4 linked regions of the Lonchura striata genome follow. Each later gene encodes a partner of the first gene's protein in a complex. Links are inferred from orthologs where the notes say so. Each region holds a gene or a part of one and is shown on either strand. Other genes may lie near its edges.

Region 1 (7,639 bases):
AACTTGCCTCTCTGTCTCTTGCTCTCTGGGGCCTGCTGGGAGCTGTGGCTGCAGCCCCAGCAGGGCCCTGCTCCCGCTCCCTTTGCAATGCCCCCGAGTGCCGAGCCCGGCTGCAGAGATCCCCCGCTCCCGGCAGGCTCCCAGAGCCCCGCAGCGGCGCCCTGCCCGGCACCGAGCTCACCTCTCTGCCGATCAGCTTCACCCACACCCTGTCCCCCACCGCCAGCATCTCCGCGGGGCTGTCCACGGGGCACGAGGACAGCTGGCTCCGGTGCACGAGGCCTGCGGGGACAGAGGGACGCGGGGACAGAGGGACACGGGGACAGAGGGACACGGGGATTAGGGGGGACATGGGGGGACAGGGGGGACAGGACATGGGGACGGGCATGGGGGGGCCAGAGAGGGACAGGAGGGACAGAGAGGGACAGAGGACAGGAAGAACGTTCACACCCGCCTTCCCGAAGGAATGGACCTTCCCATGCCATGTCGGAAGAATGTGGTGGGGCTCATAAATTAATGCATCAAATTGATAAATTTTCCGTAAATTAATTAATGAAATAATTAATAAAATAAAAGAAGAATTATAACATTATTAAAAATAATAAAATTAATAATAAATTGATGCAATAAAAATAAAATTATAACATAAATAGAATAATAAATAAATAAAAACAATAACATGTATACTAATTACTACATTAATAATAAATTAATACAATAAAATGACAGCATAAATAGAATTAATAATAAAATAATGGACTAAAAATTGAAGTATAACATTAATAAAATTAATCAAAAAATCAATAGAATAATATATTTAATAAAAAAATTATTAAAATATTAAATTCATTTTACTATAAAATATATGTTGTTATTTATTACTAATTGTGTTATTGATGTGATACTTTTATTCTATGAAATAATAAAATTAAACCACAGAATTAGTAATTGCATTAATAAACCAACAAAATAAAATAAAAACATTAATAAAATTAATAAATAATAAAATTAATCAACAAATTAAATGAATAAATAGAAGATAAATAAAATATAACAATTATTAGTGTTCAATTCATCCTCTACTCATCCTCTTATCAGTTTTACACAAACATTCCTGCACTAAACCTTGGATCTGCATTTCCAAAGTGCCTTGGAGCAGGTAATCCTTTGGGGTGTGGGAAGGATGTGGTTTTATTTATCAATAAATAGGATTTAAAAACTATTTGTTTTAAATCCTTTAAATTGAGTTTTATATTTATTTCAATTTCTATTCATTTATTTTTACTTTCTTTATTTTTATTTATTTAAAAATATGTTCCCTGCTACAATTTCTTCTGAAAACTTTATTAATTCCTTAGCTCATTTTTAATTTCTGTTTTTTGGTTATTGTTTTATACTGCAGCTACCACCAGTAAAGCTGCAGATGTTAATAAATTATATATTCTAATAAATATAGGAATATATCCTATATATATAATATATATACAGTAATAGATGTATCAAATATATATTACATATTATATATACAATAATATACATTATAATATTATATATTTGGTTATATATTTTATCTATAGTATATACAATTATATACCCTATAATATATATATTATATATGTATCTTTTATATTTTATATATAATAAAATATATTATAACCCATCTACTGTTATATATGTTATATATACCTTCTATATAACATATATAGTAAAATACAATACATATTGTTACTATACTTATTATTACTATTATTACTATTACTATTATTATTTAAGTTCCAGAATTTCCCCAAAACCCACCACAAAATATCCTTAAGTTACAAAAAAGTCCTTTGAGTCATTCTTGGTAATCATTCTACAGTCCATCATCTTCTAAATGCTTCCCAAATTTCTTCCTCATTTAGGAAAAAACTCCTTTTCTGATTTTTTTTCTGGAAGTTTTTAATTGTGAGGCGGCTGCTTGCCCTGGCCACAGCTCCATAAAACAGCTCCAGGGACACCAACCTTGTTTCCTGCAGCCAGGGATTCTGATAAAGGCCCCAAAATCCGTCACTGCAGCAACCTGGGGAGAAAATCAGAGCAGAGCTGCAGGAATCCCTTCCCAAAGGGGGAGAAATCACAGCAGAGCTGCAGGAATCCCTTCCCAAAGGGGGAGAAATCACAGCAGAGCTGCAGGAATCCCTTCCCAAAGAGGGGAGAAATCACAGCAGAGCTGCAGGAATCCCTTCCCAAAGGGGGAGAAATCACAGCAGAGCTGCAGGAATCCCCTCCCAAAGAGGGAAAAATCACAGCAGAGCTGCAGGAATCAATTCCCAAAGAGGGGAGAAATCATAACAGAGCTGCAGGAATCCCTTCCCAAAGGGGGAGAAATCACAGCAGAGCTGCAGGAATCAATTCCCAAAGAGGGGAGAAATCATAACAGAGCTGCAGGAATCAATTCCCAAAGAGGGGAGAAATCACAGCAGAGCTGCAGGAATCCCTTCCCAAAGAGGGAAAAATCACAGCAGAGCTGCAGGAATCCCTTCCCAAAGGGGGAGAAATCACAGCAGAGCTGCAGGAATCCCTTCCCAAAGGGGGAGAAATCACAGCAGAGCTGCAGGAATCCCCTCCCACACAGAGGAGAGTGCCCAGCTCCACGTGTGGAGATGGGCACAGAATCAGCCATGGCTGGGCAGGAGGGACATTAAATCCCACCCAGTGCCACCCCCACTGTCCCAGGTGCTCCAGCCCCAGTGTCCAGCCTGGCCTTGGGCACTGCCAGGGATCCAGGGGCAGCCACAGCTGCTCTGGGAATTCCAGCCCAGCCTCCCAGGGAACAATTCCCAATTCCCAAAATCCCATCCATCCCTGTCATGGTAACAGGCCCCTGGCTGGGCGATAATTAGCATTGATTCCATGATTCAAGAAGGTTGATCAATATCTATCTTTTTTAAGAAACCCCCCCACTTTTATAGACAGTTACAATACAGCTAGACTTAATTGCTCCTCTAATCAAACCACTATCACTACTGGCTAATTAAGAAACCACCCCTTGGTAAATAAATCCCCATAACACATTCTACATGTTCACAACACCAGGTGCAGCAAGTGAAGATAAGAATTGTTTCTCTGCTCTTCTCACAGCCTTGCCCAGCACAATGCCTGGGAATGCCGTGTTTCCCTCTGTGGGCACAGAGCTGCTGCCACACACAGCCCTGCCCTCTGGCAGTGGCACCAGGAAGAGCCCAAACCTTTCCACAAGCCCTGCCAGGCTACAAACCCCCCCTGCATTTTCCAGTGGGGAACAGCACTGGGTGCACCTGGAACCATCCAGGAAATCATTATTTCCTTTCCTTTATCCCTCTGGTGCAATGATTTTTGGTCCTGGTTCTCATCCTTGATTTAGGAATCTGAATCCCAGAGTGGTTTGGGTGGGAGGGAATCTCATCCCAGCCCAGGGACCCCTCCCACTGTCCCAGGTGCTCCCAGTGTCCAGCCTGGCCTTGGGCACTGCCAGGGATCCAGGGGCAGCCACAGCTGCTCTGGGAATTCCAGCCCAGCCCCTCCCACCCTGCCAGGGAACAATTCCCAATTCCCAATCTCCCACCCAGCCCTGCCCTCTGGCAGTGGGAGCCATTCCCTGGCTCCTGTCCCTCCATCCTTGTCCCCAGTCCCTCTCCAGCTCTCCTGGAGCCCCTCCAGGCCCTGCAGGGGCTCTGAGCTCTCCCTGGAGCTTCTCCTCTCCAGGGAGCACCCCCAGCTCTCCAGCCTGGCTCCAGAGGGGCTCCAGCCCTGCAGCAGCTCCGTGGATCCCTCTGGGCTCTCTCCAGCAGCTCCAGGTGCTGCTCCTGTTGGAATTCCGAGCTCTGAGGGTGGGGAACCCAGTGACAGAAGAGGTCGGAACTGCCTCTCCTCGGCTGCCCCCGCAGCTGCACATGAACAGCCCCCGGACACAGGTTGTGCACCTGGACAGAGCTGTGCATCCCCAGAGCTCCCCCGCGCTATCCCGACCGAACCCACGGAATGAATTCCCCCCGAGCTTGGCCCGGGCCGCGCCAGCCGTGCCGCACCTCGCCCTGGAAGATGGAGTAGAGCTCGGGAAGCGGCTCCATCGCCTCCCGAGGCGCCGTGACAGCCAGCTGGATTCACCCTCGCTACCGCATCTCCTCTGCAGGATGCTGAGGAAAGAAAAATTTCATTAACGCCCGAAAAGCCCCAGAGAGCACCCGGGGTTCAGCGCCTTGAGGGGCGCGGGGATTGGACCCGCAGTGCTGCGGTGAAGGACTGACCTGGACCGGCGCAGAGGGACAGGACGGCTCCTCCCGGAGCCCGCGGGGCGGTGGGGGCTCGTCAGCACCCGCGGCAGCAACACCAGCGCGCCGCCATCACCCCCTCACGCTGAGGGGCCACGCTCCTCGCCAATCACAGCGCGCAATGTTGCCGTGGGATGGTCCCGCAGCCAATCAGCGTTACCCATACCACCCAGCGACCGCTTTCCTCCAATCAGAGCGAAGCGCGCCAGAAGGCGCCGCGCTCCCCGCTCCATCCTCGGCGCAGCGTCGGGGGGTGGGACCTGCCCGGCGCTCCGCCAATCAGCGCGGCGGCCGCGGCAGCGACAGCCAATGGGGCGCGGGGGGCGGGGCGCGGCGGCCGCCATGATCGAGCAGCAGAAGCGGAAGGCGCCGGGCCCCGCGCCCGGGCCCGGTCCTGCCGCCCCCCCGGGCCCCACCGGCCCCGCCGCCGCCCCCGCGCCCGGCCCCGACCTCCCGCTCGTCCCCGCGCCCGCCAAGCGGCCCCGCCATGACCTGCCCGGGGCGCCGGGCACGGGCGGCGCGGGGGGACAGCCCGCGGCCGGAGCTCTGCTGCAGGCGGTAACGGGGGAACGTGAGGGGAGGGTGGGAGGAGATCGGGGTGGGACGGGAGGTGAGGGGACAGGAGAGGCCAGGCGTGGTTCCAGGAGCAGGGAAGGGCCACGAGCGTGGTGGGCTGGACACTGCTGAGGCACCTGTGTTAGGTTCTAGGCCCTCGGCTGGGGCCTGTCCGCGGAACGGAGCTGGGAAGGGAACTGAGCCCCAGGAGAGGCTGAGGGGGCTGGGAAGGGGCTGGAGAATCCCTGAGGGAGCTGGGAAGGGGCTCAGCCTGGAGAAAAGGAGGCTCAGGGGGACCTTGTGGCTCTGCACAGCTCCTGACAGGAGGGGACAGCCGGGGGGTCGGGCTCTGCTCCAGGAACAGGGACAGGAGGAGAGGGAACGGCCTCAGGCTGGGCCAGGGCAGGCTCAGGGTGGCAGCAGCAGGAATTTCCCCATGGAAAGGGTGACCCCCCCCTTTCCATGGGGAAATTCCTGCTGCTGCCCACCCTTGGCCTTGGAACTGCCCAGGGAGGTTTGGAGTGCCATCCCTGGAGGTGTCCAAGGAACGTCCTGGATGTGGCACTCAGAGCTCTGGGCTGGGGATAAGCTGGGGACCAGGTTGCCTCAATGACCTTGGAGCTCTTTTCCAGCCTCAGTAATGCTGGAATTCTGGTGGGATGTGCTGTGGGAAGGTGAAGATGCTCGGCAGGGGTGGCAGGCTGGCCTTGCCCCTTGTCCCCTCACGGTGTCTCGGTGTCCCCCAGGGCCCCCCGCGCTGTTCCTCGCTGCAGGCCCCCATCATGCTGCTGTCAGGACACGAGGGGGAGGTTTACTGCTGCAAGTTCCATCCCAATGGCAACACCCTGGCCTCAGCTGGCTTCGACAGGCTCATCTGTGAGTGGCACTGCTGTCCCCTGCTGTCCCCCGGGCTCAGGCCCTGTTGCTGGGGGGTTTTAGCTCAGCCCTCACCTGGCTGGGTTCTGGGTGTGAATTGCTCCCCCATGGGGGTGCAGGAAGCTTTTCCCAGCTGCTCTGGCAGGTGCCATCCTGATGGTGCTGGAAAAGTGCCTTGCTGGGTGCCAGCTGTGACCGCCCTGTGTCCCTGGCACACGGCTTCCAGAGGTCTGCAGAAATGCAGTTTTAATGCTTAGGCTTCCTGAGGCAAAAATTATAATTGTTCATAATAAACTCACCTTAACCAAGCTCCCTAAAGCTGCTCTGCCCTGGGGCTCACACGATGCTTTGTCACTGCTGTGAGTTGTCCCAGCTGGGACTCAGCAGTGGGGCTGGTCCATCCCCACTTTGCTGAATCCCCAAAGATCAGCTCCATGCACAGCAGGGGCTGTTCCCGAGCCTTTCCTGTGCTCACCTGTCCCTTGCTGTCCCCCAGTGCTCTGGAACGTCTACGGGGACTGTGACAACTTTGCCACCCTGAAGGGACACAGCGGGGCTGTCATGGAGCTGCACTACAACACGGATGGCAGGTGAGGGCAGGGGCTCTGTGCTGCTCAGGGACTCACTGCAGCTCAGGGAACAGGGCTGGAGCCCCAGGAGAGGCTGAGGGAGCTGAGAAGGGGCTGGAGCCCCAGGAGGGGCTGAGGGGGCTGGGAAGGGGCTGGAGAATCCCTGAGGGAGCTGGGAAGGGGCTCAGCCTGGAGAAGAGGAGGCTCAGGGGACCTTGTGGCTCTGCACAGCTCCTGCCAGGAGGGGACAGCCGGGGGGTCGGGCTCTGCTCCAGGAACAGGGACAGGAGGAGAGGGAACGGCCTCAGGCTGGGCCAGGGCAGGCTCAGGGTGGCAGCAGCAGGAATTTCCCCATGGAAAGGGGCTCAGGCCTTGGAACTGCCCAGGGGGTTTGGAGTGCCCATCCCTGAGGCGGCAGTCAGAGCTCTGGACTGGGGACAAGGTGGGGACCAGGCACAGCTTGGATTTTATGTTCTTGGAGCTCTTTTCCAACCTAAATGATTCTGGGGTTGTCACCTGTGCTCAGTCCATGGACACCAAGTCCTTGTAGTGTGGGCAAAGGATCTGGGGGCACCTGTGACCCCCCCCAGTGCCATTGATGCAGTTTTGGGGCACAGAGGGAAGTTTGTGTTGGGTGCCCGGGAGTCACTGGGGAGGGAGACAGAGCAAGTGAGATACTGGTTAATTTAAAAGGCTGTTCCACCATTGCTGCTGAGCTTTGCTGAGCTGTGCTCATCCTAGATGCTGCTTGAGGAGGCAGCAAAACCATTCACAGCAGGGATTAAGGGGAGTTTATCCATGCAGCTGTTCCAGTGTCAGTCAGTGTTTCAGGCGCCTCCAAAACACCAACAGGGGAGGTTGTTCCTGAAAGGAACTGGGAAGGGAGCTGGGCCCTCACAGTGGTTGTTCCTGCAGCATGCTCTTCTCAGCATCCACGGACAAAACCGTGGCTGTGTGGGACAGCGAGACGGGCGAGAGGGTCAAGAGGCTCAAGGGCCACACGTCCTTTGTCAACTCCTGCTACCCTGCCCGGAGGGGCCCCCAGCTCGTCTGCACGGGCAGCGACGATGGCACTGTCAAGGTCAGTGTGTGCCCTGGGCAAAGCCTAGGGAAAAAAGGTGGAGAAGCTTTTAGGATCTTCCCCTTTATCTGGGCTGATTTCAGCCTTTTGGTACTCGTTTCGTTAGCGCTCTGAGTTCAGAGGCAAAAATGTGACAGCAAATTTCACTGCTCTGTTTTTTCTGTGTTTCTCAGGGGGTTTGGGAAGCTTGAGCTGCTCAGCTGGGATTTTTCTGCTGCTGTGGCTCTGCACAGCTCCTGCCAGGAGGGGACAGCCAGGGGGTCAGGCTC
Region 2 (7,080 bases), on another chromosome or scaffold:
AGATGCCAAATGTGCCCCCCCGGGGCATGTGAGGCAGCTCCGGGGCTGTGGGGATGACATCCCCACGGGAGAACGAGGCAGTTCGTTGTCTTCCATTTTTGTCCGATATCCCCCCCGGTGTTTCCCTCCCTCCTCCCCCAGACAGCCTCGGCTGTTTGACCCTGCTGGAGCTGAACGCAGGGAGAGGCTCCCCTGCGGGGGCCACCCCCGCCATGGAGCCCCCCGCCCGCACCTGCTCCTGCGGCTCCCCTGCCTCCGACAGCGAGGCCGAGGCCGGCAGCTCCCCCCGGAGCCCCCCCAGACCCGAGCGCAGCCGCAAGCGCCCGGCGGGGCTGGACCGAGCACCCCCCGAATCGCCGCCCTCACCCCGCGGGGGGAAGCGCCCGCGGAAAGGAGAAGGGGGGGATGTCCCTCCCAGCGATGGCGATCGCCTCTTTGCCCAAAAGGTGAGTTTTTTGGCAGAAAACGAAGGGGCACCCCCAAAGATGGGAGGTGAGGGAGGGCTTGGTGTCCCCTCAAAAAACCCCTGGGTCTGCCTCAGTTTCCCCACTGAAACGGGCGGGTGGGGATGAGCAGGATTCGGGGGGTGAGAGGGAGGTAAGTGGGGTGTGAGGGGGTGCACCAGACCCCCTCTCCAGTCTGGGTGCAGCCCAGTCACCTCCTCCTCTTCCTCCTCTTCCTCGCAGTGCCGGGAGCTCCGGGGCTTCATCCGGCCGCTGGCCGAGCTGCTGGAGGGGCTGCGGCGGGGCCGGTATGACAGAGGTGGGTGCCCCCCACACCCTCCTCCTCCTCAAAGCATCCCTTTCCCTCTGGGGAAAATTCACCCAATTTCGGGACTCCCCAGGGCTGAGCAGCTTCCAGCAGAGCGTGGCCATGGACCGGCTCCAGCGGATCATTGGGGTCCTGCAGAAGCCAGAAATGGGGTGAGGGTCCCCAGCTATCCCCGGGGGGGGCGGGCACGGGGACACCTCCTCCGCAGAGGGTGACAGAGCTCTCTCCCCGCAGTGCCCGCTACCTGGGGACGCTGCTGCAGGTGGAGGCGATGCTGCGCCTCTGGTTCCCCCACGTCGCCCCCAAACCCACGCTGGACTCGACCCCCTCCACGGCTCCCCCGCGCCGCCGGCCCCCCGCCGGTCCCCCCGGGGCTCCCCGGTGCCGCCGCCTGCCCGGGGACCTCCCCCTCGCCAGCCCCGCGGGGACATTACAGCAGCGGGGGTCCCCCCGGTGCCAAGCCGGGACCCCCGAGTCGCCCCCAGCGCCGGACGTGTGACGCCCCCCCCGGCTCGGGGGGGGGGAAGATCTCGTCTGCATTTCTTGGTTTTGCCTTTTTTGATTTTTTTTTTTTTTTTTTTTTACGGGTGGTCAGTGAGACCCGCGGGCGGGCGGGACTGACCGGGGGAGGGGTCCCGACCCCCCTCCCCACCCCAGAAGCCCCAACCGCGGGGCGGCCGCGTGCCTTGGCCGGAGCGGAGCCCCGTCCCCGCGGGGACCGGGCTCTCCCGGGCTGGTGCCTTCCCCCCGAGCGGTGGGTGCGGAGCCCCGAGCGGGGCGGGCGCTGCTGGAGCAATAAACGCCGCGGGAGCGGCCGGGGCCAGCCGCTGTCGTGTCCTCTGTGCCTGGGCAGGGCGGGGGGTGCGCTCCCGTCCCGGCGGGCTCACAGCCGCCCCCGGTGCCCCGCTGTCCCCCGGCCCGGCTGCGGGCGGGACAGCCCCGGGAGCGGCACGGGTTCCGCCGGTACCGGGGCTCTCCCCGCCGGAAGTCCCGGCGGTAGCGGAAGTCCCTCCCGACGGAAGCTCCTCCATCAGTCACGGGGCTGCGGAGCTTCACCGGGGTCAGCTGGGGAGAGCAGCGGCACCGGGACCCGACCGGGGCACGGCACCGTTCGCGGGGCGGCGGGTCCCTTGGGGCTCTGCGGGGGGAACCGAGCCCTCCGTGTCCCCGGGAGAGGGCGGGAGGGACCGGCCCCTCTCCGTACCCGGGGTTCCCTGCCGTGTCCCGGGGCGGGGGGAGGAGGGACGGGCTCCTGCGGGCGCCGGGGCTGCCCGGTCCCAGCCGCTCCGTCCCGCAGCAGCGCGGCCATGGCGAACCACCTGCGCTTCGTGGGCCGCACGGTGATGGTGCAGAACGGAAACGTGGAGGCGGCGTACGGCGTCCTGAACAGGTGAGGATCGGGGGGAACGGCGGGGTTTGGGCCCCGAGGGGCTCCGATTCCTTCCCGTGCTGGGTTCAGAGCCAGAATTTCTGGAGCAGAAGGTGACGGGAGGGTGGTGCGGGGCTTTTCCCATGAGCTCCACGTCCCACCGCCCCCTCGGATGGGCTGTAAGCAGCGTGAAATCGAGGAAGAGCTGAGCGCTGCTTCTCGGGGAGCTCTGCGCTCACACACCTTCGTTGGAGCCGCCTTAAACGGAGCTCGGGGGGTTCCTTCCCCTCCTCGCGGGTGGACGGCGAGGAGACCGAGCCGAGGGTCCGCACCGGGACCGAGCCGTGCACAGGGTCCGCACGGAGACCGAGCCGAGCCAGGGTCCGCACGGGGACCGAGGGTCCGCACCGAGACCGAGGGTCCGCACCGGGACCGAGCCGTGCACAGGGTCCGCACCGGGACCGAGGGTCCGCACGGGGACCGAGCCGGGCCCAGGGTCCACACCGGGACCGAGCCGTGCACAGGGTCCGCACGGAGACCGAGCCGTGCACAGGGTCCGCACGGAGACCGAGGGTCCGCACCGGGACCGAGGGTCCGCACGGACCGAGCCGTGCACAGGGTCCGCACCGGGACCGAGGGTCCGCACGGAGACCGAGCCGTGCACAGGGTCCGCACGGAGACCGAGGGTCCGCACCGGGACCGAGGGTCTGCACGGACCGAGCCGTGCACAGGGTCCGCACCGGGACCGAGGGTCCGCACGGGGACCGAGCCGTGCACAGGGTCCGCACCGGGACCGAGGGTCCGCACGGGGACCGAGCCGGGCCCAGGGTCCACACCGGGACCGAGCCGTGCACAGGGTCCGCACCGGGACCGAGCCGTGCACAGGGTCCGCACCGGGACCGAGGGTCCGCACGGGGACCGAGCCGGGCCCAGGGTCCACACCGGGACCGAGCCGTGCACAGGGTCCGCACCGGGACCGAGCCGTGCACAGGGTCCGCACGGAGACCGAGCCGAGCCAGGGTCCGCACGGGGACCGAGGGTCCGCACGGGGACCGAGCCGGGCCCAGGGTCCACACCGGGACTGAGCCGAGCCCAGAGTCCACACCGGGACCGAGCCGAGCCCAGGGTCCACACCGGGACCGAGCCGTGCACAGGGTCCGCATGGGGACCGAGCCGAACCCAGGGTCCGCACCGGGACCGAGCCGAACCCAGGGTCCGCACCGGGACCGAGGGTCCGCACGGACCGAGCCGTGCACAGGGTCCGCACGGGGACTGAGCCGAGCCCAGGGTCCACACCGGGACCGAGCCGTGCACAGGGTCCGCATGGGGACCGAGGGTCCGCACGGGGACCGAGCCGTGCACAGGGTCCGCACCGGGACCGAGGGTCCGCACGGGGACCGAGCCGTGCACAGGGTCCGCACCGGGACCGAGGGTCCGCACGGACCGAGTCGTGCACAGGGTCCGCACGGGGACCGAGCCGAGCCCAGGGTCCGCACGGGCCGAGCCGTGCACAGGGTCCGCACGGGGACCGAGGGTCCGCACGAACCGAGCCGTGCCCGTTCCTCTCTGCTCGGCAGAGCCTTCCCCGCCGCTGTCACGGCTCTCTCCCCTCCCGCAGGATCCTGGCGCAGGACGGCGTGGCCGAGGCGGTGCGGCGCTCCCGCTACTACGAGAAGCCGAGCCGGGCGCGGCGGCGGCGGGCGTTCGAGGCGTGCCGGCGGGTGTACTGCGCCGAGATGGCGCGCAGGATCGCCTTCCTGGCGCGGAGCGCCCGCCAGGACCCGTGGCCGGGCTGCTGAGGAGCGGCCGGCCCCAATAAAGAGCCTTGGTTCCCGTTAATTGAGTTTGGTTAATGACGGTCTGAGGGGGCGGGGGCGGGGCTGAGCGTGGCCACGCCCCTTGCCGGGTTCGCGCGCGCCCCGGCCCCGCCCTCCCGCGCGCTCCGCCGCGCAGGCGCCGCGCGGCCGTTTCCGCTTCCTCCCCGACGCGCCGTCACCGTCAGGGGCCGCCGGGCCGGGCCCGGGACCGGCGTGAGGGAACGGGGCCGGTGAGGAACACTGCGGCTCCCCGGAGGGCATGGAGGCAACGGGGAAAGCGGGCGGGCTACCGAGAGGGAGGCAGGCGGTGGCGGAGGTGGCCCCGGGCCCGGCCCGCGCGGAGCCGCTCGCCCGGCGCGCCGCGCTGAGGGGGCCGGGCCGGGCCCCGGGCGGAGCTCCGCGGCAGCGGGGCACGCCGGGCCCTGCGGGGCTGCGCGGGAGCGGGGTCGGCAGGAGCCGCGTGTCTGCGGTGGGACCGAGCTCCGTCCGTCCGTCCGTGTGAGGCCGGAGCGGGCGGCGGAGCCCCGGCGCGGTCGGGCGGTGCTCGGACTCGTTCATTGATCCTGATGCGGGTTCCGGGAGCTGCATCCCCACGAGCTGCTCCCCGCGGTGGCTCTGCCCGCCCGGTGTGGCACGGAAACAGCCGGGGAGCCGCTGCCTCCCCTCAGCTCCTGCTGGAGCTCAGGTCGGGGGAAGCTGGACCGCCTCTAATTACACGAGTTTTGTGGTTTATTATGGGTGTGCTCAGAGCTGTCGATGTGTCGGGGCCGTAATTTGTTAGTTCTGCTTGTCCTTAGCCTGTGCAGGCTCAGAAGTCGTGGGGAAATGCCAGAATCCGGGTTTGGGCTCTATTTGAACCTGTCTCTAAGGAAGCTGCCAGGAAAAGTAGAGCCTGAGGAGGTTCCCAGGCTCTGGAGGGAAACCAGAGCCGTGTCCTCTGTGGAGGACTGCTTGGTAGGACAGTGCAGATTCCCCAGCTCCTGGGGCCCTGCAGGAAGCAGCAGTCACCTCCTGGAACTGCTCATGGACCTGAAATCAGGGGATCTGTGTTAGGGATGACCCCAGGGCCCCATTCCCAGCTCCAGGAAGGGTAACTGAACACCATTCCCAGTTCCAGGAGGGATAAATGAACACCATTCCCAGCTCCAGGAAGGATAACTGAACCCCAGGACCCCATTGAACCCCAGGGCCCCATTCCCAGCTCCAGGAGGGATAACTGAACACCATTCCCAGCTCCAGGAGGGATAACTGAACACCATTCCCAGCTCCAGGAAGCACAGCTGTGCCAGGTGTCTGTTCCCACAGCCCCACCTGGGTGCCGTGGTGGGGCTCAGCCCTAAGGAGATTTTGCCAGATCCGATTAGGGCCCGGAGCCAGTTAAAAGCAGTTGCAGCTGCAGCCCAGGCTGTGAGTGCTGCAGGATGTGAGGGGCTGTGACTGCCAGGGAGCTGCCCAGATCTGGGGCTGCACGCTGGGGAAGAGGCTCAGATTGTTTTGTGTCCCTGGCGTGGGCTCAGTGGGAGCAGGGGGGTTCTGTCCCACGCGTTCCACTCGCAGTGCATCTCTCTTCCCAACCCCTGGAGCATCCCATGGAGGGATTTGGGGAGCTCAGAGGCTTTGTCACCGGGCTGGCAGCACAGAGAGACATGGGGAGCTCAGGGAGGAGCCAGGGTGGGAAGGGTTATCCTGAGAACACGCATTGCTGTCTGGTTTTGGAAGCACTCTGGTGTGTCCCTCTAGGATCCACAGCAGGTCCTGCGTCCCCTGTGTGGGGTCAGGACCTCCCTCCTCACGGGGTTTGCCTCGTTTTAGCCCGCAGGGGAGCCCACGAGAGCTTTTCCCAGCCGTGGAGCTGATCCTGAGGGTGAGGACACCCCAGGCCCGTGTTTGACGCGCTGTGTCTCCTCGCAGCCCGAGCAGAGATGTCGCTGTCCAAGCGCGAGCTGGACGAGCTGAAGCCATGGATCGAGAAGACGGTGAAGCGTGTGCTGGGCTTCTCGGAGCCCACCGTGGTCACCGCCGCGCTCAACTGCGTGGGCAAGGGCATGGACAAGAAGAAAGCGGCCGGTACGTGCGCAGCCGGGTCTGTAAAACAGCCCAAAACCTCGCCAGGGTGGAGGGGCAGGGGCACAGGGCAGTTCTCTCAGCCTCCACGAGGTGAGTAGGGGGAAATCCCTCAGACCAGACTCAACTGGAGGCCTTGGGATGTGTTAAAAGATCTGATGAGGAAAAATTAATTCCTTATTTGAGGAACTGTAAAAGGTAATTTTTTAGTGTGCTTTAGAAAGCGGCTGGTACGTCCGCAGCCAGGTTTGTAAAACAGCCCAAAACCTCGCCAGGGTGGAGGGGCAGGGGCACAGGGCAGTTCTCTCAGCCTCCACGAGGTGAGTAGGGGGAAATCCCTCAGCCCAGACTCAGCTGGAGGCCTTGGGATGTGTTAAAAGATCTGATGAGGAAAAATTAATTCCTTATTCGAGGAACTGTAAAAGGTAATTTTTTAGTGTGCTTTAGAAAGCGGCTGGTACGTCTGCAGCCAGGTTTGTAAAACAGCCCAAAACCTCACCAGGGTGGAGGTGCAGGGGCACAGGGCAGTTCTCTCAGCCTCCACGAGGTGAGTAGGGGGAAATCCCTCAGACCAGACTCAACTGGAGGCCTTGGGATGTGTTAAAAGATCTGATGAGGAAAAATTAATTCCTTATTCGAGGAACTGTAAAAGGTAATTTTTTAGTGTGCTTTAGAAAGCGGCTGGTACGTGCGCAGCCAGGTTTGTAAAACAGCCCAAAACCTCACCAGGGTGGAGGTGCAGGGGCACAGGGCAGTTCTCTCAGCCTCCACGAGGTGAGTAGGGGGAAATCCCTCAGCCCAGACTCAGCTGGAGGCCTTGGGATGTGTTAAAAGATCTGATGAGGAAAAATTAATTCCTTATTTGAGGAACTGTAAAAGGTAATTTTTTGGTGTGCTTTTTTTGCCCGTTACAGCCTTGCTTTGCTTCTGCATGGACTGGACCCCCTTAATCCCTTAGTTTAAAGCTCCTGACAGCACAATACACAGATCCCAGAGGCTTCCAGGCCTCCCTGTGCTTGTAGACTTGAATCACTTAAACTGAAGTGGTTTTTACATCTT
Region 3 (7,047 bases), about 2.1 Mb from region 1:
CAAAGAATTATTTACATTCTTGTCCAGCTCTTTCCCAGGCTTCTGCCCAGCTAGAAACTCTCAGTTTCTTTCTTTGACTGAATCTGAGACCCACACTCCTGTGCATCACAGCGAGCAAACAAACCAACATCTCCTTGAAATGCTCTCACAAACCTTGAAATGCTCTCACATCCGTGGGACTGATGCTAAAGCTGTTAGTGCTGGCAGCAGCACCCAGGAGCTGATGGCTCCATGCCCAGGGTGCTTCTCTGGGATTAAGAAACAGTTCCCATCCCACAGAGTTGGGGTAAAAAGCCCTGTTTTCTGTTTCCTGTGAATGCTCCCAGTCAATCACAGCTGCTGGGTGACTCCAGCCTGGATTCACACCCCACACTGTGTCTAACCCCCTGTGTGATTTCTCTGCTTGCTGCTAGCTGAATTTCAGATATATTTGGCCACTGCTGGGATGACCTGCAGCATAAATTCCACTTGACATGTGCCAACAGCAAACTGTCCCCTCCCAGCCACCCATTCCAAGGCACTTGCTTTGTGTGCTGCTTTCCTCCCTTGCTGGAATTTGAAATGCAGGGAGCTCTTACATGAACTAAACTCACTTTTCTTACTTACATTAAAAAAGACCTCACAAACTGCATTATGAAAACCAACTCAAAAACCATCTCAAACCCCTTCAGAACTCCTCCCAGGCTTTCACAGGTACTGGAAGACAGAACCCTTTTTAACCTAAGACTCTTGTAACTTTTTAACCCATACTGTAAAAACACAAACTAAACTCACTTTTCTTACTTAGGTAAAAAAACCCACAAACTGCATTATCAATTCAAAAACCACCTCAAACCCATTCAGAACTCCTGCCAGGCTCTCACAGGTACTGGAAGACGGTAACATTTTTAACCTAAGACTCTCATAACTTTTTAATCCTTTTAACCTAAGACTCTCATAACTTTTTAACCTTTTTAACCTAAGTCTTGTAACTTTTTAACGCATACTGTAAAAAACGTGAACTGAACTCACTTTTCTTATTTAGGTAAAAAAAAACCCCACCAACTGCATTATCAAAATCACCTGAAAAATCACCTCGAACCTGTTCGGAAGTTGTCGCAGGCTGTCACTGGTACTGGAAGACAGTAACCTCTTTAACCTAAGTCTTGTAACTTTTTAACCCTTTTAACCTAAGTACTGTAACTTTTTAACCCATACTGTAAAAACGCAAACAAAGCTCACTTTTCTTACTTACGTAAAAAAAACCCCATAAACTGCATTACCAACTCAAAAATTCCTGAAACCTGTTCAGAACTCCTGCCAGGCTCTCACAGGTACTGGAAGATGGTAACATTTTTAACCTAGGACTCTTGTAACTTTGCAACCCTTTTAACCTAAGACTCTTCTAACTTTTTAACCCATACCATAAAAAAACGTGAACTAAACTCACTTTTACCACTTATGTAAAAAAAACCCCACAAACTGCATTATCAAAACCAATTCAAAAACCACCTCAAATCCCTTCAGAACTCATCTGAGGTACTAGAAGACGGTAACATTTTTAACCTAAGACTCTTGTAACCTTTTAACACACTGTAAAAATGCAAACTAAACTCACTTTTCTTACTTAGGTAAAAAAACCTCCACAAACTGCATTATCAATTCAAAAACCACCTGGAACCCGTTTGGAAGCCCTGCCAGGCTCTCACCGGTACTGGAAGACGGCGTGCTGCTTGGAGCAGGAAGGGTGGTCGATGGGGATGTCGGCGATGCGGCGGTGCCGGCCCAGCAGGTAGGCGCTCTGCCTGTGGATGTACATCACGGGCAGGAACTCGTCGTTCTTGAAGGGGTACAGGCGCCAGCGCGTCTTGGGGATGCGCGCCTCGGGGGGCTCGCTGTACTTGATCACCACGCCCCGGAAGGTGTTGGTGTCCTCCAGCAGCGCCCCCGACAGCTCGAAGCTTGGCTTCTCCTTGTTGGCAGCGGGTTTTTCTTTGGGTTTGCTCTCTGCTTGCCAGGGCTCTGCGTTCTGCTCGCTGCTCTGCCGCTGCTCCCGCCGCCTCTCGTTGTGCAGCTCCCTCTCCGCCTGCTGCTCCCGCAGGCTCTGCGCCTCCCGCTCGTGGCCGCGCGCTCCCGGCCTCTCACCGGGGTTCTTCCTCCTGTCTGCGTGCTCCTTGTGCCGCTCCCCGCTCCTGTCCCGCTCCCGCCGGTGCTCCTGCTCCGCCGGGTGCCTCTGCTTCCGCTCCTCGGTGCCCCTGCGACAGTGATCGTCTCGCTCCTGAAGGGAGGATCACAGAGAGCAGCAGCTCAGCCTTTCGGAAAATCCCAGCGCCACGCGCTGGGAAAACACACACTGGGATGTACCGTGCAGCCCTGACACGACGTGGAACAGAGTTCCTTGCCAGCCTACTTGGGTTCCCACAACTGGCACTGAATAAAGCACCAGAAACAGCGAGTGTAGCCTGCTCTGGGGAGAGGACACAGCTCCCAGGGGTGCCTGTGCTGTGGCAGGAGCAGGGCTCCCATGGGAGCTCCACGGGCACGGCTCCGAGAGCAGCTACAGCCACGGGTGGCACAGCCTGAGCTGGGCAGCAGGAGCTCCGACTGGCCCAGATCCTCTCTCTGCTCATGGGACACGATGTAGGGCCCAGTCGGAATTGACACATGAAGAGGCGCCTACCGCACCCGCCGCGGCCGAGTCTCCCCACTCACCTGCTTTACCCTCACGGCGCCGTGGTGCGGGCTGTGGCTGCGGCTCCTCCTGCCTCGCGGGGAGCGGCTCCTCCTCCCGGACCTGCTCCTCCGCCGGGGCGACCTGGGGAACAACGGGAGGGGTTGAGCGGCGGGGCCGGGCCGAGCGCGGGGCCGAGCGGCTGGGCCTCCCTACCTGCTGCCGCGCCCTGCCGGGCCCCGCCGCTCCTCGCCCGGCGGCGACGCACTGCGCCGGGGGCTTCGCCGCTCGGCCTTCACCACCGCCGCCTCCCGGCGCCGCCGCCGCTCTCTCCGCCGCTCCTCCGCCGCCTCCATGGCGCCCGCCCGCACGGAAGTGCCGCCGCTTCCGCCCGCAGCGCTTCCGCCCGCGGGGCGGGGCCGCGCCTGCGCGGGGCGGGCGGCGCGGTCGCCATGGTGACGGGCCCGCGGCCGCCATGGTGACGGGCCCGCGGCCGCCATGGCGGCGCCGCCCGAGTCGCTGCTGCGGTACTGCCCGCCCGTGCTGGTGTCCCGCCGGGGAGACCGGGCCTCCGCGGCGGTGAGCGCCAGCGGGGGGCTCGCGGGGGGCCGAGGGTGCCGCGGCGCCCCGGCCGCCCTCACGGCGCTGCCCTCTCGTGTTCCCGCAGAGCCAGGCCCCGCGCGGCCCCGCCGGCCTCTCCTCCGCGCAGCAGCCGCAGGAGCTCCTGAACGCCATCCTGCCGCCGCGGTGAGCGGGGCCGGGCCGGGGCCGGCGGGGCCGCGGGGCGCCCGGCGGCCCCGGTAACGGCCGCTGCTTCTCTGGCAGGGAGTGGGAGGAGGCGCAGAAGCTGTGGGTGCAGGAGGTGTCCACCGCGCCCAGCACCCGCCGGGACGTGCTGCAGCTGCAGGAGCAGCTGGACCGGCAGCTGCAGCAGCGGCAGGCGCGGGAGACCGGGCTGTGCCCCGTGCGCAGGGAGCTCTACACGCAGTGCTTCGGTCAGTGCGCAGCCTGCACCTGGAAACAGCTCTCAATCCTCTCGGGTGTCCTCCTGGCTGCGCTTCAGCCAAGTTTGTTTAAAGTAACCTGGAGCCGTGTGTGTGTGTCACACACTGATGACACAGGAACCTCTGAGGGCTCCCCCATGACTGCAACAAGTCCATTACACGTTTTTGAGTGCTTGCTGTTGCAGCTTTAGGGGATAGCATCATTGGCATTGCCCGAAGAGCTGCACCACTGCTCTGCTTTTACCTGCTGCACTCAATGCTACAGCTGCAATGGAACTAAACAAATCAATTGTTACTGTCTCTAGGACATTCCATGTCCTAAATGTGGGCCCATTTACCCCAAAGGCCTGCATTTACCTCCCTAGGACCTTCTCTATTCCCTCAGAACCCTCTTTACCCTTCTATACAAAAGCTAAAACTTAAAGCATCATTTCCAGGACTTAATTTTCCCCTCAGGGCCCCATTTACCCTTCCAGAACCCCATTTATTCTCTGACAACCCTCTTTACTCTTCCAGGACCCCATTTACATCTCAGGACCCCACTGACCCTTCAGGGCCACATTTACCCTTCCAAAGCCCTGTTTTACACCGCCATGAAATAGGGAAGCTTAAGCTGCACCAAGGGAAATACAGGTTGGGTATTAGGAAAAAGTTTTTTATAGAAAGGGTGATAAAGTGCTGGAGTGGTTTGCCCAGGGAGGTGGTGGAGTCACCATCCCTCGTGTGTTTAAAAAAAGATTGTATGTGGCACTTGGTGAGGTTGTAGGGCTTGATGATCTCGAAGGTCTGTTCCAACCTGGCAGCTCTGTGATTCAGTGTGTGATTCCAGTTGTGTGGCACAGTGAGTGGTGGAGTGTCACTGCAACAGGTCCCCAGCTGGGTAAGTAGTGACATGAACTCCATGCATTTTATAGAAGGCTGATAATTTACTTTATAAAGAAACCCATTGCCTTTTTATACCCTAGTTTGCTACTGGTGGACTTAATTGGTCTTTTACTTAAAACACCATCACCATGAAGTTGATGCTAATTAAGTAACACCTGTTGGAATTTGTGGTATTGACGATTCTGAAATTGTAAAGAGTCTCTGTTTTTTTGCCTTGTTGTTAAAGAAGTAGCTATAATTTGTCTGTGCTGGTTTTTAAGGTTGTTTATTTTTGCTTATGTTCTGCTTCCCTGCTGCAGAGCTCTGTCCTGCAGGGCAGCATGTGGGGCTCTGCCCTCAGTGGGATGTTACAAACATTAAATACCAGAAACTATGTGTGCTGTATTTACAATAATGTGCTAATATCTATTATTTACATTGAATAGTGTGTTTCCAGCCTAAACCAATAGAAAAATGCCAACACCACAGTGAGACATGGAGGGCATGAAGAAGAAGGACAAGACACGCCCAATTTCCTCCATCTTGTCCCCTTTGAACCCCTAATCTAAAATTCTAAAATTTTACTTCTGTACCTGTGCTACATTTAATTATTACTTATATCAAACACTCAGAGCTGGTAGTTCATCCTGTAAGATTGAAAACTCTTTTCCATGGGCAGAGATCACAGCCAGTGTCTCTGGGGGCTCTGTCCAGGGGGGTTCCTGACCCCTGCCAGGGTCCCAGACCTGCCAGGGCAGCCAGAGGGAAGCCCTGGATTCCCACAACCACCCTTTGGTAAACAAACCCCCATAACACATCCCACATATTCACACCACCCGGTGCAGCAAGATAAGAACTGTTCCTCATTCTTTTCTCTGAGCCTGTCACTGCCTTTCCCAGAACGCTGCCTGGGAAAGCCGTGCTCTGTCTGTGAGAGGTGAGAGGAGCAGCCATGTCCCAGAGAAGGGCACTGCAGCCTGTGTTGCTCCCTTGCAGACGAGCTGATCCGGCAGACCACGGTGAGCTGCGCCGAGCGGGGGCTGCTGCTGCTGCGCGTGCGGGACGAGCTGCGCCTGACGCTCGCCGCGTACCAGGCGCTCTACGAGAGCAGCGTGGCCTTCGGCGTGCGCAAGGCGCTGCTGGCCGAGCAGGGCAAGGCCCACCTGGAGAAAAGGGTGAGGGGAGTGGGGAAAGGGTGGAAAGGCCACCTGGAGAAAAGGGGGAGGGACAGGGGGAAAGGGTGAGGGACTGGGGGAAAAGGGTGAGGGACTGGGGGAAAAGGGTGGAAAGGCCACTGGAAGAACAGGATGAGGGACTTGGAGAAAAGGGTGGAAAGGCCACTGGAAGAACAGGATGAGGGACTTGCAGAAAAGGGTGTAAAGGCCAACTTGCAGAAAAGACAAGGGACTTGGTGAAAAGGGTGTAAAGACCACTTGGAGAAAAGGGTGAGGGAGTTGGAGAAAAGGATGTAAAGACCACTTGGAAAAAAGGGTGAAGGATTTGGAGAAAAGAATGTAAAGACCACCTGGAGAAAAGGGTGAGGGGCTGGCGGAAAGGGTGGAAAGGCCACCTGGAGAACAGGGGGAGGGACAGGGGGGAAAGGGTGGAAAGGCCACCTGGAGAAAAGGGGGAGGGACTGGGGGAAAGGGTGAGGGACTGGGGGAAAAGGGTGGAAAGGCCACTTGGAGAACAGGGTGAGGGACCTGGATAAAAGGATGTAAAGGCCATTTGGAGAAAAGGGTGGAAAGGCCACTGCGAGAACAGGATTAGGGACTTGGTGAAAAGGGTGTAAAGACCACTTGGAAAAAAGGGTGAGGGAGTTGGAGAAAAGAATGTAACGACCACCTGGAGAAAAGGGTGAGGGGCTGGCAGAAAGGGTGGAAAGGCCACCTGGAGAAAAGGGGGAGGGACGGGGAAAGGAGGGAAAGGCCACCTGGAGAAAAAGGGTGAGGGGCTGGGGGAAAGGCCACCTGGAGAAAAGGGGGAAAGACTGGGGGAAAAGGGTGGAAAGGCCATTTGGAGAAAAGGGTGAGGGACTTGAAGAATAGGATGCAAAGACCACTTGGAGAAAAGGGTGAGGGAATTGGAGAAAAGGTTGTAAAGACCACTTGGAGAAAAGGGTGTAGAGGCTACACAGAGTGTAAGCAGTTGTTTCTTTTCCCATAGTCTGCACAGTAGAGTTTTTGTCCCCTATGCTAATTCCAAACCTCCACCTTCCATCTTGACACCTTCCTGTTTGCCTTACAGTGCTTAATGTCAAGTTTCTGTTGTGGTGGGTTATTTTATGGGAAGATCCTTCTTTGATAGTGTTCAGGGAATTTGTGCTCTTGAAATCTTTACAGCTTCTCGTTCTACAACAGATTCTAAATAATTACATTAAAAACATAGTCCACTGACTCTGCTCACCATGTATGAACTATGATACTGAATTTGTCTTTTACTGTTGAAAACAATGCAAAAGTAGAGTTTAATTAGTCTTGGTATCCCAATTAATATAATACAATTGTTTTACTGAAATCTGTTATTTTT
Region 4 (6,599 bases), on another chromosome or scaffold:
GGCCCCGCCCGGCCCCGCCCCGCCCGGCCCCTGCGCCTCACCGAACTCGGCCACGATGGAGGCGAGCCCGCCATACACGAAGGGTTTCCAGTTGAGCGCGGACATCGCATGGCGGGCGGACACCGCCGCCACCGGGCCGGGACCGGAACCGGAACCGGAACCGGGCTCCGCCGCGCCGCGCCCGCCCCCTGCCGGCACCGCGCCCGGGAAGCCGCGGGGCCGCTCCACCCCAGCCCCGGCGCGCCCCCCGCCTCCCTCTGGGAGCGGTCCCGGGGCTCCGGGGCGGAAATTCCCCCTTGCGCCTAGAACCGGCACGGACCGGACCGGAGGCATTACTCGTTACACGAACCAAACCCAGCTAAAGCCCCTCCCTTCTCCGCCCTGCGAATCCCGCACTCCAGCGCTCCCGGCTTTCCAGCCAAATAAGACCAAAATCAGCTAAGAAAAACAGATGACACCTCTTCCCTGGCCACAGACAGGAACACTGCTCCCGGAACCAGCTTCGCCCTAACAGCAACTTTTATTAAGAAACCTTTAAACAAATCCATGATAAATCACCCCAGCACAGCAGTGTATCCCTGTGGATACATCATGGAATCCCAGATGACACTGGGCCCAAACCTGGCCCAGGAGGCCAGACAAGACACCCAGCAGCAGCCTCCGCCCCCAGAGCAAGAGGGAGACACCACCCCAAGGGATTTAGGGAAGGGGATTATCCTGCTGCTGCTCCCAGCCTTCACTGCTTGACACCCTCCTTGGTCATGGGACAACCCACTGTCCCAGCCAGCAGCACGGGACGCATGGAGAGCCATGGCCCAAGGTGGGATGAGAGGCAAGGAGCAGCTCCCAGGTGAAAGGTCCAGCCGCAGCATCCCAGGAGCTTGGAGCAGGTTTAGGCAGGCTCGGAGCCTCCCTCACCCCAATGCTCACCGAGGGCTCAGCAGCGGCCGGAGTCTCTGCCAGAGCCCCGCTCCCTGTGCCTGGAATGGCGCTCCCGAGATCTGTCTCCCCTGGGGGACGTGTCTTGCCGGCTGCTGTGCCCGTCGCCCCTCCTGCCAGCCTCCTCCCTCCTCTCCCGCTCCTCCCAGGAGCTGCTCTGGCCCCTCTGCTCGCGGCAGTTCTTGTCCCCCCTGCTGTCCGAGTGCCGCTGGTGCCGCCGCTGCTCCTCATCGCGCTGCGTCCTGCTCCCGGAGCTCCTGTCGGTGCTCCCGCCAGCATAGCGCTCGTACCCGGGGTCCTCCTTCTCCTTCTTGATCTTGATCCTGGGATGGGGCTCCTCCGTGCTCACCCGCTTCCCAGCCTGTGGGCTCGACTTTGATCGTTCTGCTCTGCTCCGCTGCTTCTCTGGAATTAGGGTTCACATTTCGGGATTGACAAAACTCCAGGAGCACCTTGCTCCCCATGGCTCCCCTGCCACCATCCCAACTCCTCTTCCACTACAAATTCTCCCCCTCCACCTAATTTCCCAGCCTGCTTCCCACCTCAGGGAGATCCCAGTCCACTTCTAAGCACAACTTTTTCTCCTCCAGCTGCAGCCACCCCACTTCTCTCTTGAACATACACATCATGTTCTTCCCAGCAAAGCTGGGCATTTCCACACCACCAGGAATGCTGAGAACTTCCAACTTCCTTTTCCTCAGTAACACTGTGATCCACTTTGTGGAAAGTATCTCTCCAGACCTGAGGACTGCCTCATGGCCTCATGGCTCTCCTTCTTCTCCCTCATTTTTGAGCATCTCCTCAGCACTCTGTCACAACAACTTATTTCCACCCTCATTTTGTGCCCATTTTTGTTCCTCCAAGCGTCCCTCCACGCAGACTCCAGCCCCCAAACCCTACCATGGGCACGCCCACCTGGGATCCAACCTGCCAGCAACACTCCTCACCTTTCTGCTTTTTCACGGGCACCTCCTCATCCTCAGACGGGGAGTCGGACGAGGTGTGAGGTGGCGTTTTCACCCCACAGCCCTTGGCATCGAGGGCTCTAGTCACATCATCCCAGTCCTCAGACTCCTTGGGGGGCCGGTAGTTGGCCACATGGTCCACGCGGATGGTCCGTCCCTTGATCTGCGGGGCCGGGCTGTCACCGCCAGCTCCCAGCTCCCAGGGCCGCTGCCGAGCCGAGGGAGCACTCGGGGAGCCACGGCAGCACCTGAGCCCCACTCACCTTGATCCCATTGAAGTTATCCACAGCCAGGATGGTGCTTCTCTGGTCCTCATAGCACAGGAAGCAGAAGCCCTTGGACTTCCCGGTCTTCTTGTCCCGCACGAGGTTGATGTTGACGACCTCGCCGTACCTGTGGCACACGCACCGTCAGCGCCGCGGCAGCGCCCGCGGCGGCGGGGCCGGGGCCGCGGCACTTACTGCGAGAACACGCAGATGACATCGCCCTCCGTCAGCGCGTAGTGCAGCCCGCCTGCGGGGACAGGGGAGGGAAGGAACGGCTCACCGGCACCGCTCCCGTCCCGGCCCCGGCCCGCTCCCTACCCACAAAGATCCAAGCGCTGTCCTTGTACTCCGCGTGCCACGACACCGCCTCCTGCACGCCCAGCTCCGCCTCCCGCGCGTTCAGCTCATTGATCAGCTTCACCTTCGTCAGGGGGCTGCGGGCGAGGCACCATCAGCACCGGCACCGGCGGGACAGAGCCGAGCCCGGCCTTCCCCCACACCCCTCACACCTACTTCATGGCGGCGGCAGCGCGCACTGCGCCTGCGCAACGCCCGCCCCGCCCCGAGCCGAGGCGGACGTAGCCGAGTGTGGCCGAGTCGGGCCGATTGTAGCCGAGTGTGGCCGAGTCGGGCCGATTGTAACCGAGTCAGGGCAATAATAACCGAGATAGCCCGAGCGCGGCCGAACAGGGCCGATTGTAGCCGAATCGGGCCGATTGTAGCCGAGCGCTACTCGCCGAGCCGAGCCGATCGCGGCCGAGCCGAGCCGATCGCAGGCGGTAAGGCAAAGCAAGAGTCGGGGCGCAGGGGGCTCAGAGCCTTTATTGGGGTCCGGGCGGGTCCCGCTCAGCACGGGCAGGAGCCTTTCCCGCTGGCCTCCTCCAGCCGCCGGGGCTGCGGCTGGGGCTGCGCCGGCCAGCCCTCCGTGTCCCGGCAGGGCAGCGAGCGCTGCGCCTTCAGCCGGCACACCAAGCACATGAAAATCGCGTCCACGTTCTGGCTTTCCTGTGGGTCCTTGGCCGAGGTCTCAAACAAAAGCATGTTGTGAGCGTCGGCGAACTTGAGGGCCAGGCTGGATGGCACCTGGATCAGGTCTTTCAAGTCACACTTGTTCCCCACGAGCACCCTGGGGACGAGCGGGGGCACCGCGTGCCCGTTGCACTCCTCGATCCACGTCTTGAGGTTGGTGAAGGAGCTCATCTTGGTCACGTCGTACACGAAGACCACGGCATGCACATTGCGGTAGTAGTGCTCCACCATGCTCTTCCGAAACCTCTCCTGGCCAGCTGTGTCCCACACTTGCACCTGGGAAGCGAAGCAGACAAGGAAAGACGCTACAGGAGTGTGGAGCCTGGCCCTGGCAAGGCTATGGGGAGGGGGTTGCAGGAGGGCTTCCTGCTCTCTGGGCATGGTTTGGACTGGAAAGGAACTTAAAGATGATACAGTCCAACCCCTGCCATGGGCAGGGACACCTTCCACTGTCCCAGGTTGCTCCAAGCCCTCTCCAACCTGGACTTGGGCACTTCCAGGGATCCAGGGGCAGCCACAGCTGCTCTGGGCAACCTGTGCCAGGACCTCCCCATCCTCACAGCCAAGAATTTCTTCCTAATATCCAATCTAAACCTGCCCTCCCTCAGTTTAAGGTCATTATCCTGTCCTCCATTCCTTGTCCCAAGTCCCTCTGTGGCTCTCTTGGAGCCCTTTCAGGCACTGGAAGCATGTCTAAGGTCTCCCCTGAGGCTTCTCTTCTCCAGGCTGAATAAACCCTGCTCTCCCAGCCTGACTTCAGAGGAGCTGCAGTCCTCAGAGCATCTTTGCATCCTCCTCTGGACTCATTCCAACAGATCCATGTCTATTTGTGCACCAAATCCTACGCCATGAATGAGAATGCTGATGATTTCACAGAGGAAAAGAAAAAATGAGGAGGGGGAGCCACCCTTTGTGTAGGAGTACAGTGGGAGGGCCAGGAGCTCTGTGGGAATGGGTGAGGAGCCAACAGAGCTCATGGGGGAGGATTAAAGAACGAAACATCACAGATGACATTGTAGGGGGTCTTGGCTATAGACCACCTGGCCAGGAAGAGCAAGCAGATGAGATGCTCTGTGGACAGTGAGCAGCAGCCTTGTGTTTGCAGCCCCTGGTTCTCACAAAGAACTTCAGCCACCCCAATATCTCATGGAAGGACAGCACAGCAGAGCACAGGCAATCCAGAACATTCCAGGACACCATCGATGACAACTTCCTGACCCAGGTGACAGAGATGCAAGGAGGCCTCTGGGCTGGATGAGCAGACAGTGAGGGAACTGGCTGAATGTCATCTGCTCCTAGACGGTGCTGGCCAGTGACACCAAGTCTGGCTGAACACTGGTAACCAGCAGAGTGCCCCGGGGGTCAGTCTGGGTTCTCCTGGTAATGTTTTGTAGCCTGGAAGTGGCAATTTCCAAGTTAATCCAAATTGCCCTACCCATGGAGACAGTACCTGCCTTGGAGTCTTTCCAATTGAAAAACGCTGGCAAAGCAGAGCTGCTGCTCAGCCCTTTCAGAGCCAGTCTCTCCCAGGCAGAGCAAGAGAAGGAGGATCCTTGTCCACCTCTCACCTCCTCTCTAGGATACATATCCCAGGAAATGGCCAGTTTGCTGCACTGCCTCCCACTCCTGCCCACTGGAGCTCAAATAATATCCAAAGGTAGAAAACCTGGCAACATTTTCCAGCTAGTGGCAGCACACAGGCTCCATGCCAGCCTGCACCACAGCTCACACCAGCACAGCTCCGTGGGGCTGCACAGAGCCAGGGAGGGCAGGGAGAATGACCATCTCTAAAGGAGAGCGGGAAAAACATTCATGGACAGCCTAGAAGCACAGCTAAAGCTCTCACCCACCAACACAAGATTGGGTTTCATTGTGAGTTCAACTTTCAATCAGCCATCTGTCAGTACAGCAGTGATGTTTGTTCTTCCAGCACCAGTCTGATCCCCACAGCTGGGCAGGCCAAGCTCCACCACAGACTCTGCTCCCAGGGGTTTCCTACCAGTGGCAGATTGCTCTGACACACCAGCCAGAGCTCTTCAGGTCTGGGCTGATCATTCTTTACAGGTGTCACACAGCCTTCCTAAGAAAATTCATCCTGCTGCAATCGCAGCTCCAGGTGCAGCTGGGAGCAGGTTCCTGCACTGCTGCTGCCACCACTGAGCCCGCTGCCGCTGGCCCATGTGAGCTCTCCGCCTTCCAGTGTGGCTGCTGCCAGCCCATCACTCTCTGCCCCCCAGAGTCCTGTCCCCCATCCCACCGCAGCTCTACCCCTCCGCTGGTCCAGTGTTGGGAGCTGGAGCCACCCCAATGCTGCGAGGATCCAGCTGTGCCCATCGCAAGGGTGGCGGTGACTCACCCCGAGCCATCACTTCTGATCTCTGCATGCTCAAGCCAACCCCAGAAATAGTGACAAGGCAGCAGGGACTGGTCCAGGGCCATCTCTGCAACATAGGGATGAGAATTCTTCCCTGGCCCTGTTCCCTCTCTCCAGCTGGGCTGTAAGGAAAAGCCCCCAGGAGGGGTTTGGCAAGAGGCAGGGATGGGGACCGGCTGCCATCGCTGCTGGGGCTGCTGCCGGCCAGATCGGGGCCGGTGCGGGGCCCACCGGGGACAGAGCGGGGCCCACTGGAACCGGTGTGGAACCCAGAGAGGGCGAGCGAGCCCCGCCGGGGGCCAGCGCACGGTGTGGGACCCAGCGGGGGCTTAGCCGGTGTCGGCCGGCCTGGAGCCGGTGCGGGGCCCACCTTGATGCGCTCCCCCTCGATCTCCACCGTCTTCTCGCGGAAGTCCACGCCGATGGTGGCCTCGGTCTTGCCGGGGAAGGTGCCCCCGCAGAAGCGGAAGGTCAGGCACGTCTTGCCCACGTTGGAGTCTCCGATCACGATGATTTTGAAGATGCGGGTCTGCACGTAGGGCTCCAGCGCGGGGTCGGGGCCCGGCGGCCGCGCTCCGCCGCCGCCGCCCGCCGCCATCCCTCCCGCACCGCTGCCGCCTCACCGGCTCATCGGGGCGCGTCGCCCCGCCGACCGGCTGCGGCACCGCACGGCACCGGGTCCGCCCCGCCGACCGGCACCGGCACAGCTCCGGACAGCGGCACCGCTCGTCTCCGCCCCACACCCCGGCACCGGCACAGCCCCGCCCCGCGGACCGGCACCGGCACAACACGGCTCCACCCCACGCACCGGCACCGGCGCAGCCCCGCGTAGCGGCACCGGCACAGCCCCGCCCCGCACACCGGCTACGGCACCGCACGGTCCCGCCCCGCGTAGCGGCACCGGCACAGCCCCGCCCCGCACACCGGCTACGGCACCGCACGGTCCCGCCCCGCGGAGCGGCACCGGTGCAGTCCCACGTACCGGGACCGGCGCCACACGGTACCGCCCCACGCACCGGCTACGGC

Evidence for each region.
Region 2: SNRNP40 (region 1) and PRPF3 share a complex: the UniProt entries of both Homo sapiens proteins name them as parts of the U4/U6-U5 tri-snRNP complex. The link is inferred for Lonchura striata from reciprocal best matches to the Homo sapiens genes SNRNP40 and PRPF3.
Region 3: SNRNP40 (region 1) and SNIP1 share a complex: the UniProt entries of both Homo sapiens proteins name them as parts of the minor spliceosome. The link is inferred for Lonchura striata from reciprocal best matches to the Homo sapiens genes SNRNP40 and SNIP1.
Region 4: SNRNP40 (region 1) and RBMX2 share a complex: the UniProt entries of both Homo sapiens proteins name them as parts of the minor spliceosome. The link is inferred for Lonchura striata from reciprocal best matches to the Homo sapiens genes SNRNP40 and RBMX2.

The regions. Positions count from the first base shown.
Region 1 is NC_134628.1:6,738,784-6,746,422, forward strand, and holds the start of SNRNP40 (U5 small nuclear ribonucleoprotein 40 kDa protein), read left to right. Parts: upstream 1-4,625; 5' UTR 4,626-4,631; coding exon 4,632-4,847; intron 4,848-5,590; coding exon 5,591-5,720; intron 5,721-6,216; coding exon 6,217-6,310; intron 6,311-7,204; coding exon 7,205-7,370; intron 7,371-7,639. Other genes in the region: ZCCHC17 (zinc finger CCHC domain-containing protein 17), read right to left, coding at 182-282, 2,002-2,059, 4,047-4,088. UniProt on the Homo sapiens protein: Required for pre-mRNA splicing as component of the activated spliceosome. Component of the U5 small nuclear ribonucleoprotein (snRNP) complex and the U4/U6-U5 tri-snRNP complex, building blocks of the spliceosome.
Region 2 is NC_134635.1:2,813,096-2,820,175, forward strand, and holds the start of PRPF3 (U4/U6 small nuclear ribonucleoprotein Prp3), read left to right. Parts: upstream 1-4,078; 5' UTR 4,079-4,187; intron 4,188-5,868; 5' UTR 5,869-5,879; coding exon 5,880-6,024; intron 6,025-7,080. Other genes in the region: CIART (circadian-associated transcriptional repressor), read left to right, coding at 142-446, 687-762, 845-923, 1,006-1,270; MRPS21 (small ribosomal subunit protein bS21m), read left to right, coding at 2,079-2,161, 3,759-3,939. UniProt on the Homo sapiens protein: Plays a role in pre-mRNA splicing as component of the U4/U6-U5 tri-snRNP complex that is involved in spliceosome assembly, and as component of the precatalytic spliceosome (spliceosome B complex).
Region 3 is NC_134628.1:4,688,619-4,695,665, forward strand, and holds the start of SNIP1 (smad nuclear-interacting protein 1), read right to left. Parts: upstream 3,007-7,047; coding exon 2,867-3,006; intron 2,795-2,866; coding exon 2,692-2,794; intron 2,258-2,691; coding exon 1,689-2,257; intron 1-1,688. Other genes in the region: DNALI1 (axonemal dynein light intermediate polypeptide 1), read left to right, coding at 3,149-3,229, 3,318-3,397, 3,476-3,645, 5,515-5,693. UniProt on the Homo sapiens protein: Required for pre-mRNA splicing as component of the spliceosome. As a component of the minor spliceosome, involved in the splicing of U12-type introns in pre-mRNAs. Down-regulates NF-kappa-B signaling by competing with RELA for CREBBP/EP300 binding.
Region 4 is NC_134616.1:15,333,046-15,339,644, reverse strand, and holds RBMX2 (RNA-binding motif protein, X-linked 2), read right to left. Parts: upstream 2,701-6,599; 5' UTR 2,689-2,700; coding exon 2,684-2,688; intron 2,605-2,683; coding exon 2,489-2,604; intron 2,418-2,488; coding exon 2,366-2,417; intron 2,298-2,365; coding exon 2,168-2,297; intron 2,068-2,167; coding exon 1,887-2,067; intron 1,345-1,886; coding exon 938-1,344; 3' UTR 502-937; downstream 1-501. Other genes in the region: SLC25A14 (brain mitochondrial carrier protein 1), read right to left, coding at 42-105; RAB33A (ras-related protein Rab-33A), read right to left, coding at 3,017-3,475, 5,944-6,171. UniProt on the Homo sapiens protein: Involved in pre-mRNA splicing as component of the activated spliceosome. As a component of the minor spliceosome, involved in the splicing of U12-type introns in pre-mRNAs.